Arabidopsis thaliana: one gene and its partner. The protein of the gene in region 1 interacts with the protein of each later gene in a pairwise test. Each region holds a gene or a part of one and is shown on either strand. Other genes may lie near its edges.

Region 1 (7,593 bases):
GGATAGGAGCTATATGTCTACTATTTTTATTTTTTTAGCCAATGAGAGAGCTCCACTTCATACCCCACTTTTACCAATCGAGCGATTTCACAACCAGTCTCACCCATGTCGCGTTGAGCGCGTGTCTACGATTTCTAAAGGGGTTTGTCCACAGAAATCATGCCTTTTTTGATCCACGCAACTCACTCTCAAAAATCCATCGCGTGTCTTATTTTTTTTGGTTTTCTTCTCTAAACCAAATTAAACCGAACCGAGATCAATTTGAATTTCAAAACCAATGTAAACCCATCAAACCCATCGCTGTGAAAACAAAAAGCTCGGCCACTGTAACAACAAAAATGGAGACGACACAACTTGGAAGAGAAATCAACTCTAAATAGCCAAGAGAATGTTCGAAAACCCCCTCAAATCCGATGCTTCCTTTGATTCCAACCTCCAAAAGCCCATCTGCTCAAATCTTCATTTCGAGGATGAGGACTCGAGGAGTATTACAAGGTACCTCAATAGAATCAATGGCTTCCATGGATTTTGAAACTTTACTTCTAATAAACACCATTGTAATGTCTTGTTGTGAAGTTGTGTAAGGAACAAAGGATAGTGAAAGCTGAAGAGTGGGATTCGTTTATGGAGTTTCAGAGTTTTTTTTGACTAAGTGGCCTCTGTTTTTGATTCTTCAGTGGTCAATTTTGTGATGGGATTTGATTGAAATTGGAGAATGATTTCATGAAATCTCTTCGGGCTGAGGTTGATTCATGACTCTTTCATTTTTCTAGTGTCTCATTGATGATAGACATAAGAAGCATACTTAAGGCCATAGAGAGTGGTGAATTGGAGGCAATCAAGCCTTTGCCTTGGTACCCTAAGAATCTTTCTTTTCACGGAAGGAGATTAGAAAAAACCAGATACTTGAGAGGTACATTTTCATGCCAGTTGCTTCAGAACAAGTATTCACTTCCATTCCCTTACTTGTGTTAGTTCAGCGCTTGAGAAATATTATGATCTTGTTTCAGACTTTCAGCTGTCAAGAGACAAGGCCCGTTTTACTATCAGGTTAAAATCATGGTCAGCTTCTTGTCCCAAACCACATTGTTGCAAGGTTTTGTAATAAATCTTGGCTCGATAATGCATTCAGAAACTTCTTCTACTCATATCTCAAAATATGTTTTGAATTCTAAACCCCATGGTTATCAATATAAAGAATATTAGTATCTATTTTTCTCTTTTCTGGTGTGGTTGCAATTTATCGTTTGTCTCTTTCGTGGAAACCCTTAATTCAGGCGGTATTAAGTCTTTCTCATAAAACTTTCTAAGTCAAACCAAAATTCCAATCGAAATTCTCAGCATGAAAGTCTCGAACACGTTTACATTTCTTACGCACCCAAAGACTCTTGCTTCTTGCACACGTCTCTCTTGGCTGTCCTTTACCATAACGAATTTGATGAGATTGTTTCAAAATAAAATGTTTCTTTTTGACAAGTCTGGGATTTTAATGTAATTATCAATAGTCATGCACATTATACAACATTTAAAAGAATACGGGGGTTGTTTTGCAATTTTCAGTAGTTATACACATTTATCCGTAATCACTCTGCTCAAGAAGCTTCTCCTCTTGTGTGATTCTCCTGCAATCGCTGGTGATGATTCCTCTAACTCTTTCGTCGCCGTCTCTGAATCGGCTCGTTTTATCCACATCACGTTACTCACACTCTCTATTTCTCAGCAATTTCAATTCGCTCTCTCTGATCCACCGGAAATTACCGTATAAACCTCTTTTTGGCGCAAGGTGTCATGCTAGTAGCAGCAGCAGCAGCTCTTCCTCCTTCACGGCAAAGTCTTCCAAAGAGATTCGTAAAGCTCAAACCAAAGTAGTTGTCGACGAGAAGCTTAGCTCGATCCGGCGACTGTTTTCGGAGCCGGGTGTTGGAATCGACGCTTATATCATACCTTCACAAGATGCACATCAGGTTCTCTTTTTTTAAACCTCTTCTTAACTCGTGATTACGAATTGAATAGGAAGTTCTAGTAGATTCAAAACTGTTCAATTGTGTGTGTTTTTAAGTCAATTATTGGTCCAAGTGGGCAAGTTTGACTATAGAAAGGAGTAGGTAGAAGTCTACTAGAGAGCTGCAAATTTGTGTTTTGTTTTCTATTTTTCTCTCTCTCTAAATAGAGACGTAGAAGCCATAGCTATCATAACCTGTTACTTACAAAACAAACAAAATGATTCCAAGCCAATCTAATTCCTTTTCTGGTAGTGTTATTACCTTGTATTTCTTCCTCCTGGGTTCCCTTGTTCTACGCACTCTTGCTTCTTCTAGGCTTCACTATTGCCGCCATGACCAAAGGGATGCTCTTCTCGAGTTCAAACACGAGTTTCCGGTAAGTGAATCGAAGCCAAGTCCATCGTTGAGTTCATGGAACAAGACTAGTGATTGCTGTTTTTGGGAGGGTGTCACGTGCGATGATGAATCTGGCGAGGTGGTTTCACTTGACCTTAGTTATGTCCTTCTCAACAACTCTTTGAAACCAACTAGTGGTCTTTTCAAACTCCAACAACTCCAGAACCTGACTCTCAGTGATTGCCATCTCTATGGAGAGGTTACTTCTTCACTAGGAAACCTTTCTCGTCTCACGCATCTTGACCTTTCGAGTAATCAGCTGACAGGTGAAGTTCTGGCTTCGGTCAGTAAGCTAAACCAACTTAGAGACCTTTTACTTTCCGAAAACAGTTTTAGTGGTAACATTCCTACTTCATTTACCAATTTAACGAAGCTTTCTAGTTTAGACATCTCTAGCAATCAGTTCACATTGGAAAATTTCTCTTTCATACTACCAAATTTAACCAGCTTGTCCTCCTTAAACGTTGCCTCTAATCACTTTAAATCCACGCTTCCATCTGATATGAGTGGACTCCACAACTTGAAATATTTTGATGTGCGTGAGAATTCATTTGTCGGGACTTTTCCTACATCCTTATTCACGATTCCTTCGTTACAAATTGTTTATTTGGAAGGAAACCAGTTCATGGGACCTATAAAGTTTGGGAATATATCTTCATCTTCTAGGCTTTGGGATCTAAACCTTGCTGATAACAAATTCGATGGGCCAATCCCTGAATATATATCTGAAATTCACAGTCTCATAGTACTAGATCTTAGCCACAACAACTTAGTTGGGCCAATCCCCACTTCTATATCAAAGTTGGTCAACCTTCAGCATCTTAGTCTTTCAAACAATACCTTGGAAGGCGAAGTGCCAGGTTGCTTATGGGGATTGATGACAGTGACACTTTCCCACAATTCTTTCAACAGTTTTGGAAAGTCATCATCCGGAGCTTTGGATGGAGAATCAATGCAGGAGTTGGATCTTGGTTCGAATTCACTTGGAGGACCTTTTCCCCATTGGATCTGCAAGCAAAGGTTCTTAAAGTACTTAGACTTGTCCAACAATCTCTTCAACGGCTCAATTCCTCCTTGTTTGAAAAATTCCACTTATTGGCTTAAAGGGCTAGTTCTGCGTAACAACAGCTTCAGCGGATTTCTCCCAGACGTATTTGTCAATGCTAGCATGTTATTATCACTTGACGTTAGCTACAACCGGTTGGAGGGAAAACTTCCAAAATCCCTGATCAATTGCACTGGTATGGAACTTCTGAATGTGGGAAGCAACATAATCAAGGACACTTTTCCATCCTGGTTGGTTTCTTTGCCATCATTACGTGTCCTCATCCTCAGATCTAATGCATTCTATGGGTCGTTATATTATGACCACATATCTTTTGGGTTTCAACATTTGAGACTCATTGATATATCACAGAATGGCTTCAGTGGAACTTTGTCACCTTTATATTTCTCCAATTGGCGTGAGATGGTGACATCTGTCTTAGAAGAAAACGGCTCTAATATAGGTACAGAGGATTGGTACATGGGCGAGAAAGGGCCCGAGTTCAGCCATAGTAATTCGATGACTATGATATATAAAGGAGTAGAAACGGACTTCTTGCGGATCCCATATTTCTTCAGAGCCATTGACTTTTCTGGAAACAGATTTTTTGGGAATATACCTGAATCCGTTGGTTTGTTGAAGGAATTGCGTCTTCTCAATTTGTCAGGTAACTCATTCACAAGCAATATCCCTCAGTCATTGGCAAATTTGACAAATCTTGAGACATTGGACCTATCCCGGAATCAGCTATCAGGTCACATCCCTCGAGATCTTGGTAGCCTCTCTTTTCTGTCGACCATGAATTTCTCCCATAACCTTCTCGAAGGTCCAGTTCCACTAGGCACTCAGTTTCAAAGCCAACATTGTTCTACATTCATGGACAACCTCAGACTCTACGGTCTTGAGAAAATCTGTGGAAAAGCTCATGCCCCGAGTTCTACACCACTAGAATCCGAGGAATTTTCGGAACCAGAAGAACAAGTGATTAACTGGATAGCAGCGGCAATAGCCTACGGACCTGGTGTGTTTTGTGGATTAGTTATTGGACATATCTTCTTTACTGCACACAAACACGAGTGGTTCATGGAAAAATTCCATCGAAACAAGCGCAGAGTAGTCACCACAAGTGCTCGTTGAACACCATCACCTCTCACAATTTCTCTGAGTGATTGTGAAACGTATATGTTTGTTATGATATCTGTCAGTTGTGTTATGCATAAACTCTTTGTCTTTGTAATTTTCTACTTTATGGTATTGTAAGAAACGGCTTTGGTGGTATCTGATCTTCTATATGTTGGGTTGAAAATGCATTCAGATTTTTCTTCCTAGTCAAATCTCAACTTGTCATAAGAGGATGTTTCAATTGTAGAGCCAAATGGAAGTTCTTCTTCTTCTAAATCACAGTATGAAATTCTCCAACTCGTGTTTTATTTCATTCTCCCCAAAGTTTCTTGCTCCGCTCACACGTCAATCTTGCTGTCCCTGAGTATACCAAATTCGATTTGGAGATTCAAGATAAAAAATAAATATGATTTGGACCAGTGCGGGGGTTGTTATGCATCTATGCAATTGTTTTTGCCATTTTGATATGGGTAATGTGTTGTTTCGGTGAATTTTACATACTAGGAGCTTAAGATCTACTTTCATAACTGATGTTGCCTGTAATATATTTCTGTGCCATTAGGAAAGTCACAAATTTATGTTTTACTTCTAAATGTATCCATAAACTGCCTGAGTTTTTCATGGCTTGAGTGTGATTTTTCTCCATATTTTGTACTAGAGCGAGTTCATCGCAGAGTGCTATGCCAGGAGGGCTTATATATCAGGATTTACTGGAAGTGCTGGTACCGCTGTTGTCACCAAGGATAAGGCAGCTCTATGGACAGATGGCCGCTATTTTCTTCAGGTTTTGATCATTATCGTCCTTTAAAATTATTTGATTGCCATCTCATATTGAAAGGAAATGTGGAGTTTCTTATCTACATTCTCTGCAATTATTCTATCAAAGGCGGAGAAGCAATTAAACTCTAGTTGGATTCTCATGCGGGCTGGTAATCCGGGAGTCCCCACGGCGAGTGAATGGATAGCTGATGTTTTGGCGCCTGGTGGAAGAGTTGGTATTGACCCTGTAAGCTATTATTAAACCTTCTAAATTGTGTCTCCTTTTGTCCTTAAATATTGTAGTTTGTGGTTTGTTATTTACAAGACTTTGGAATTCATGAAGGGAGCAGTTCCTTTTTTCCGCCGATGCTGCTGAGGAATTGAAGGAGGTTATAGCAAAGAAGAATCATGAGTTGGTTTACTTGTACAATGTAAATCTTGTGGATGAGATATGGAAGGACTCAAGGCCAAAGCCTCCAAGCAGACAAATAAGGATACATGACTTGAAGTATGCTGGTTTAGATGTGGCCTCGAAATTGTTGTCTTTGAGGAACCAAATTATGGATGCTGGCACATCTGCCATTGTAATATCCATGCTTGATGAGATTGCATGGGTGCTTAATCTGGTAATACTCTAGCATAGCATCTTACATTTGAATCTGTTAGTTTTGTGCCACTGATATCAGCTTATCCTTCACATAGGTCCCAATGTATTGATGTTGTATTCTGCCTCTTCTGACTGCAGAGAGGGAGCGATGTTCCACATTCACCTGTAATGTACGCATATCTGATTGTAGAGGTTGACCAAGCCCAACTTTTTGTAGATAATTCTAAAGTAACGGTGGAGGTGAAAGATCATTTGAAAAACGCAGGGATCGAACTTAGACCTTACGATTCCATTCTTCAAGGAATAGATAGGTAAGTACTTGATTGTCCATGTCCATTTATGAACTTCAGAAAAAGGAATTTCCCTCACTTTGAGTTTTCTCAGTTTGGCAGCACGAGGAGCTCAGCTCTTGATGGATCCATCAACCCTCAACGTAGCTATCATTAGTACCTACAAATCTGCCTGTGAAAGATATTCGAGGAATTTTGAAAGCGAAGCCAAAGTTAAGACAAAGTTTACTGATAGCTCCAGCGGATATACTGCCAATCCTTCTGGTATTTACATGCAATCTCCTATTTCGTGGGCAAAGGCCATTAAAAATGATGCTGAGCTAAAGGGAATGAAGAATTCTCACTTGAGGTAAAGAAAGCCATTGCTTTTACGATATTTTCCTAATCCAACTGCCTTTATAGGATTCAACTTTTCTCTGGAAGATTTTGGTTTCTTTTGTACTTTCAAATGCTAAGTATCTTAGGCTGACCAAATATATATGGAGAAATGCTGCTGCTCTAGCTCATTTCTGGAAAATTTTGGTTTCTTTTTTTCCTATGTATGGGAAATGTCTTTGGCTGACCACTTATTTTATGCAGAGATGCTGCTGCCCTAGCTCATTTCTGGGCTTGGCTGGAAGAAGAAGTGCATAAGAATGCGAATCTAACAGAGGTCGATGTGGCTGACAGGCTTCTTGAATTCCGTTCAATGCAAGATGGTTTTATGGATACAAGCTTTGATACAATAAGTGGTATGGTTATTGTCACCCTTGTTGGTGGAACTTGCTTCTTAACACATAGTCAATATACAGCCAGTGAGTGATATGTATTCCTTTCCTCTAATTACCCATGCAGGTTCCGGTGCAAATGGTGCTATTATACATTATAAGCCCGAGCCTGAGAGCTGCAGTCGTGTAGACCCTCAAAAACTTTTTTTGCTGGATAGTGGCGCTCAATATGTTGATGGAACAACAGACATCACCAGAACAGTACATTTTAGTGAACCTTCTGCCCGTGAAAAGGAATGTTTCACTCGAGTCTTGCAGGTGGAATATTTGGCTCTTCTTTTCCTCATCATTTTTGATGACCATTGACTACCTATATTGAACAGACGAACCTGTATGGGTTGCCTTGTCTGATTGGTATTTTGGTTGTAGGGTCATATAGCTCTTGATCAAGCCGTGTTCCCAGAAGGTACTCCTGGTTTTGTATTGGATGGGTTTGCACGCTCTTCTCTATGGAAAATTGGACTTGATTACCGCCATGGTACTCTATTCTATCTTTTGACTCTTCTTCCCAGAACAACTTTTTTGTAAGGAACTCATATTACTCTGATATTTTGCCTGCCAAACAGGGACAGGACACGGCGTAGGTGCTGCACTCAATGTGCAT
Region 2 (5,891 bases), on another chromosome or scaffold:
CTGCTTCAACAGTCGTCTGAGATCTCTCGTCTTCTTTATTCTTCAACACCGAAAAGGCAGTGACTTGACGAGCCATAGTTCCCGGTTCTTCTTTCTTCTTCAACTCCGAACACATTTTTAGAACATGCTTCTTCATCTTCAGACGATCTTTGGTAAGAGCAGCTGTGAAAGAGTTGTCGCTTCCATGTGCGTAGAATGTCTTCAACCATGAATGAAACAAGGCTTGGGCTTCCTTACGGATTCTAGGGTTCCTATGACTTCTCAAAGTCTCCAGTTTAACTATTGATTCAGACAATCGTATATCCTTCACGGAAAGAGACAGAGACTTCAAGTGATTCAACACATCGATGCATCGCTCGACTTCGCATGGGTTCCGTGTATTGTAAGTAGCCTTAATTGCAGCAGCAGTCAAGTCGCATAAGTCAGATCTCTCCTTCGCAATTCTCACTCTCATCATCTTTCCGTCGTTCTTGATCATCAGGTGGCTAGGGTTTTCAGTTTATGTTGAAATCTCATACCATTGAATTTCTTTACTGGAAAATTGGTAAAAACGAAGAAACACATAAACCAACACTTCTCTTACCACTCAAGAATCGATACATTCATTAATATTTTACTAACATTATACAAGTAGAGTGGCGAAAGCTTTTACAAGAAACACATAACGTGCATAGAATTCTGAGGTTATAAACTCATTGCTCTGCTTTAATCAGCTTTTGCCATGTCCTATACTGATTGATGTAGTAAAATGTGTTGTAGATGGTTAGTATTTTAGGACTTCTCCCTCATTTTGGCTCTAGCAAATACAACTCCAGCGACAAGACCTGCAAATTAGGCCACCTCAGGTTTAATAATAATACACAACACAAGCGATATGTGTTCCTTCAAGAAGTTGGAAAAGGGAACTGATCGAGAGAACGCTTACCAAAGAGTATGCTTGCTGAGTTCTGCAAACTGGTCGGTACATTGAAAAGAACGATCCCCGCGATGGATAGAGGTATCTTGTTTAGAGATCCCACCAGGCTATGATTTTGAATAAAGCGAAAGATGTATCTAGTTAGGACTGAACCAACAAAGAAGCAAACATAGGAAAGGGATATATGGAGAAGGCTAGGGGACAGCAACACTCTCTTAAGCAAAGTTTTGAAATTGCTCTATCTCTCTCTAATTTGCTACCTGTATGTTGTTGCTCCAGTTTGATGAAGAAACCACATTGAAGTAAAGCTAATGGCAAGCCCTAGAAGTCCACTAAGTGTCATGACCATCCAGAAACTTGGTAATCGTAGAAGTGGCCTGCACAAATATAATACACCATTTTGTTTTCAGATGACACAAACCATTTTCCATTGACACAGAAATAAGGACAGGAACTCACGTTTGATAGAGATAATCCATCTCGTTGAAGAAATAAGAAAGAAGAAGCCCAAGTGGTAATGAAAGTGTGTTATTAAGCAAGACCATGGAGAACTCGTTCAAGTTTCCAGATTGAGTAACCTGCTTGGCCGTATCCATGGTCTTTCTCAAAGTCAGCTGCAAAACAACAAAATATAAGGCAAGTCAAAAGTGGTGGCAAATTTTATAAGAGTATAGTAGCCTAGCTAACAAGCCAAACACTTGGTTTTTGTTGACAGGATATAGGGATAAATTTATGGGAACCTAACAGTCTAACACTCTCGTTTTTTGACCCAGCAATGGAAAACCTAGTGAGAACTGAGAAGTTGATGGTGTCAATTTGCATTCTTTGCCCAAAGTCTTCTCTTTAACATGCTATTCCTACTTCTAACAACGAGTGAAGTACTCAGGTTACCAGTGACAATGGATTGCAAGCTATAAAATTTTCTAAGGTAACAGAATCTCGGTATCTCGTGAGCATCTTAAAACTCAAAAGCAAGCCAGTATCGTAATGATTATAGGGAAGGCTGTTTAGTTTATTGACTTAGTCTTAACCAAACAGCATGTAATACTCGACATGAAAGCATGGTTTTTAAGTGATCTCCTTTTCATATATGTGTTTATTGTTTCAAATGACTCCTAACATTTTGGGAAAAGAAAACACAAATGATCAAATGTTTACTCACCGAGTACGATGCAGTTAAGAAGCAATTAGCAATCTGCCAAGCATAGCCAACAGCATTGAATGATAGGTCTGTTATTCCTCCAGAAACTGCGGAAATTATCTGCAAATGAAGGACGAAAGAAGCACAGGTTAATCAAAACTTTATCCTCTACTTATTCAAGATCTATACAAAAACAAATAGAATATACATATAACAATGAGTAGCCGTGACAAAAAAACATGATTACATTTCCCTGGCAGACTAATTGTGGAAGCAGTTAAAAACATGTATCTCCAACAGTATTGAAAGGTTAGGCTATGCCACACCACTGAAAGCCGCTACGACAAGTGTAACTGTGTACGCACACAAAAGGGTGGATCACTTATCAATAAGAAGATATGCTTTAGACTTTATTGGTTAAGGTTGATGATCAGAGAGTGCTTTGAGAAAACAAGAGAAAACCAAATCCAAAACAGTATAGAATCGTTGTTTGACAAGGATATCTTTCAAAAACTCCAATCAAAATGCTATCTATGTGCAGCTTGAAATAGGTTCCTTGAGAATAGTTTTTTCTCAGGTACAATTTACAGAATCAGTTAGAAATACTTTTAAAGCAGACAAACATACCATTAAGAAGAGAGCAGCCCACACTCTGTTGTCATGTTGCTTGTTGAACAGATACATCTCACCAACTGCAGTTATCACATTAGTGACATTCTTCAGGACAGTGACCATTGCTACATTGATGTATTTCAAACTGTCAAAGAAAATGTAATTCAAATAGACAATCAAGTTCAATCTGCTCTTCAAACACCGCCTACATACACATATACGATACATATCTATATATCTCGACCTACTGTGAAGTAAATCCAAAATATCTATCTGTTTCACCTAAGTGTCTACACGTTATTTAATCCTCGATCTGCTGTAAAGATGATGTACAGATTCTTATAACTACCTTTAGTACTCCAAAAAGTTGACTTTACTAATTTAGTAATCTTATAGGCTTGAGAATTAAGAGAGCATCGATATATAATTCAACAAACCAACACAAAATAAAGGTGTAGAAACACATTCTTACCTAAACATGCTTGTGATAAGCATACCAACAAAGATGACATTCACTGGAAACCAGACCTTCATCAACCTCAAAGTAAGTGGTTCAGTAGTTATTAGACCCATTAAACTCAAACCAACCACAATGATCACCGAGACAAAGTTCTGGTATAACATAAGGAAGATCCCAGCATTGAAGTTGTAGCTGGAGAGAACAAACTTGTTGACAAGTATCATACTGCATGATGAAATGCAATAAGCTAAACCGGATAACAAAGCCCGGTTATGTATCTTTCTTGGAATTGGTTTATCTCCTCCGGATTTTACTGTCTTCCCATCTTCTAAATCAACTCCATCGTGTTCGTACAATTTCATTGCAAAGCTAAGACCTACCAAAGAAACTAACTTCTTTCAAGCTTATATAACTAGATCCATCATTCTTAACAATACACGCACAAAAAAAGTAACAGTTTTACATAAAAACCAATTCGGTTCCAATTCGCAGCTAAAATCAACTTAAGACGAGATTGGATCAAGCAGCAAAGTTGAGAGTAGCTACACAAGCGTTAATCGGAAGTTGTGTAGAGAATAACGAATTTTACCTCGAAGTTGTCCAAAAGCTCGCGAACTAAAGATTCAACTTCGGACGAGATCTAATTGATGACAAGTTACCGGAAAAAAAAAAAACTATGAATCGGAAGAAGAAGAAGAACATGAAACTTGCTCACGCGGAGGATCTTCGTCAGGTCGTGGTGGAGCTATCTGTGAAATGTTGTTTTGAAGAAACAATGGAAATTAGGAAACTGAAAAGACGAGGGAGAGAGATGGCATTGACCAGAAGAGAAAAAAAAAAAAAAAACTGACCAATTTTCGTTTCTTTCGTTTGTTTATTTATATTAAAATTAAGAGTTTCGTAAGTTAGAGGAAGTTCCATTATGTAAAACAAAATAAATTTTCTCAGTGGGTATTTCAAAATTGACAAACTCATCAACTACTCATGTCAAACATGTCTAAATGAATAAATAAAACTAGTATGTATTTCTTGAAATTAAAAATTATTCCAAAGCGAAAAATAGCCTTTTATCTATAAATACAGAATAATATTGATCATTTTTAAGACAATAAAACAGAATAATACTGATCATATACAAATAGGCCATATACAAATATGTCATAACTATACTAAAATTTAAGAAAATATTAGCTATTTAATACTATCAAACAAATCTCTTCATTGAGGTCATTCAACACAAACATTGTTATTTATAAAAAAAGAACACAAACTTTGTTTGGAGTAACTTTGACAGTTACACGTTAAATATGTTCTCTCCTAAGGTATTGAGCTTATGATGTTATTTTGTTAATTTTCATCATTTTATAGTTATTGGTTATTATATAAATCTCTTATATATTGAGAAGAAATAATAATATAAACATAAATTATCTAATTTAGTTATAATGGTTTGGTACCATATGGTCCAAATCACACAATATGTTGTACAATTTGCTTTTTTGGAAAAATGTCATTTAAATCAGTAGTTTACTATTTTTGTTGATTTAAACTATGAGTTCTGTATCTGGTAATTTAAATTCTCAATTTTTATGTTGATTTTCAATTTAATCACGAATTTTCGTTAATTAAGCAAATTGAGGCACAATTTTTTCTCTTTCGCACCATCAATCGACATAGAGATAAGAGATTATTTTGAATTTAAAGAAGAAGAAGGAATCAAAAAAAGGAAAGAATTCAAAAAAGAAAAGAGGGAAAAATGAAAATCGATTTTGGATTCTAGTGTTTATGATTTAAGAAATTTATAATGATGCGTCTTAATTAGTTTAATCAGTGAGAATTCGTATTTAAATTGATAGTCAGTGCAAAAGTGTACTACTGTTATGTGTCTCTAAACTTGGCAATTTGACACAAAATCTGAATGAATAAAAATAAAAGTTTGGCAATAATGGTCCATTTGCCTTTTTGCTTTGTACCATACCGTTGACCTTTCGGCTTAATTCTTTCCACCAGAAATTTTAGCCTATCTATTTTGACTCTTTGACACAGTCCACTTCTAAATCCACTAGCCATAGCCCAAGTTACTCGAGCACGTAAAATAAAATCCTTTAGGCCCAAAAGAACCAGTGTAGCCAAACGCATGACCATTTTGTTTTTTCCGTAACGCATGACAATTTTTATAACAAAAATATATTCACACTCTAATGTTAACGACACTCATCTTGTTCTTGAGAACAAATAGTTGAATATCATTTTCGTATTATAACATTTAATGAAAAGAGTTTTCTATCTCTTCTCTCTTTCATATCTTTTACAGAGAGGGAGCTCTGTTTTTCTTTTGTAATCTCCGTCTTCAATCAGAGCTTTTTGGTTTGTGTTTTAGATTTCCTGTTTTGATGCCGGTTTCTCTTTCCGACTTGTTCGGATTTACTTTCTTTCTTTCTCTTTTGGTTGCCTTTTGCAGGCTCAAATTAACTCTTCCAATTTCGGGAAGATGAAAATTCCAGAAGTCATCAAATGGATCCTTGTTCATTGAGTGCTTGATTCTTCTCCCAAGTGAAGGTAATTCCTTGCTCCGCCAAAAGGGCTTGTTTAGAGCATCGGTTCTCCTTGGTGGATTGATCAAGTTGATGCGGTTGATTGGGACGGAGTATGAAGAATTGGAGTCTTCGTCTTGTTCTGATGAATATTTCGGGCTAATCGGCTGAGGTTACAAATTCTCGTGATCAAGTTTAGGTCCAACCAATCTCTTCTGGTGATCTATG

The links. The genes of interacting proteins can lie anywhere in the genome.
Region 2: the proteins of AT3G05350 (region 1) and GONST1 interact in a protein complementation assay, tested with the Arabidopsis thaliana proteins (one large-scale study listed by BioGRID).

What each region holds. Positions count from the first base shown.
Region 1 is NC_003074.8:1,527,888-1,535,480, reverse strand, and holds the start of AT3G05350 (Metallopeptidase M24 family protein), read left to right. Parts: upstream 1-1,571; 5' UTR 1,572-1,637; coding exon 1,638-1,964; intron 1,965-2,119; exon of another isoform or gene 2,120-2,220; coding exon of another isoform or gene 2,221-4,581; exon of another isoform or gene 4,582-4,813; intron 4,814-5,224; coding exon 5,225-5,350; intron 5,351-5,452; coding exon 5,453-5,572; intron 5,573-5,675; coding exon 5,676-5,951; intron 5,952-6,070; coding exon 6,071-6,243; intron 6,244-6,316; coding exon 6,317-6,571; intron 6,572-6,801; coding exon 6,802-6,953; intron 6,954-7,056; coding exon 7,057-7,247; intron 7,248-7,358; coding exon 7,359-7,467; intron 7,468-7,555; coding exon 7,556-7,593. Other genes in the region: AT3G05365 (uncharacterized protein), read left to right, coding at 389-495, 774-913, 1,011-1,105; RLP30 (receptor like protein 30), read left to right, coding at 2,221-4,581. UniProt on the Arabidopsis thaliana protein: Catalyzes the removal of a penultimate prolyl residue from the N-termini of peptides, such as Arg-Pro-Pro.
Region 2 is NC_003071.7:5,686,813-5,692,703, forward strand, and holds GONST1 (golgi nucleotide sugar transporter 1), read right to left. Parts: upstream 3,960-5,891; 5' UTR 3,719-3,959; intron 3,506-3,718; 5' UTR 3,492-3,505; coding exon 3,142-3,491; exon of another isoform or gene 2,898-3,141; coding exon of another isoform or gene 2,815-2,897; coding exon 2,685-2,814; intron 2,178-2,684; coding exon 2,079-2,177; intron 1,531-2,078; coding exon 1,376-1,530; intron 1,294-1,375; coding exon 1,177-1,293; coding exon of another isoform or gene 1,173-1,176; exon of another isoform or gene 1,024-1,172; coding exon 926-1,023; intron 825-925; coding exon 772-824; 3' UTR 504-771; downstream 1-503. Other genes in the region: AT2G13640 (Transcription factor IIS family protein), read right to left, coding at 1-478; AT2G13660 (uncharacterized protein), read right to left, coding at 5,480-5,805, 5,870-5,891. UniProt on the Arabidopsis thaliana protein: Involved in the import of GDP-mannose from the cytoplasm into the Golgi lumen. Required for the luminal synthesis of a variety of plant cell surface components. Is required for the correct mannosylation of the glycosylinositol phosphoceramides (GIPC).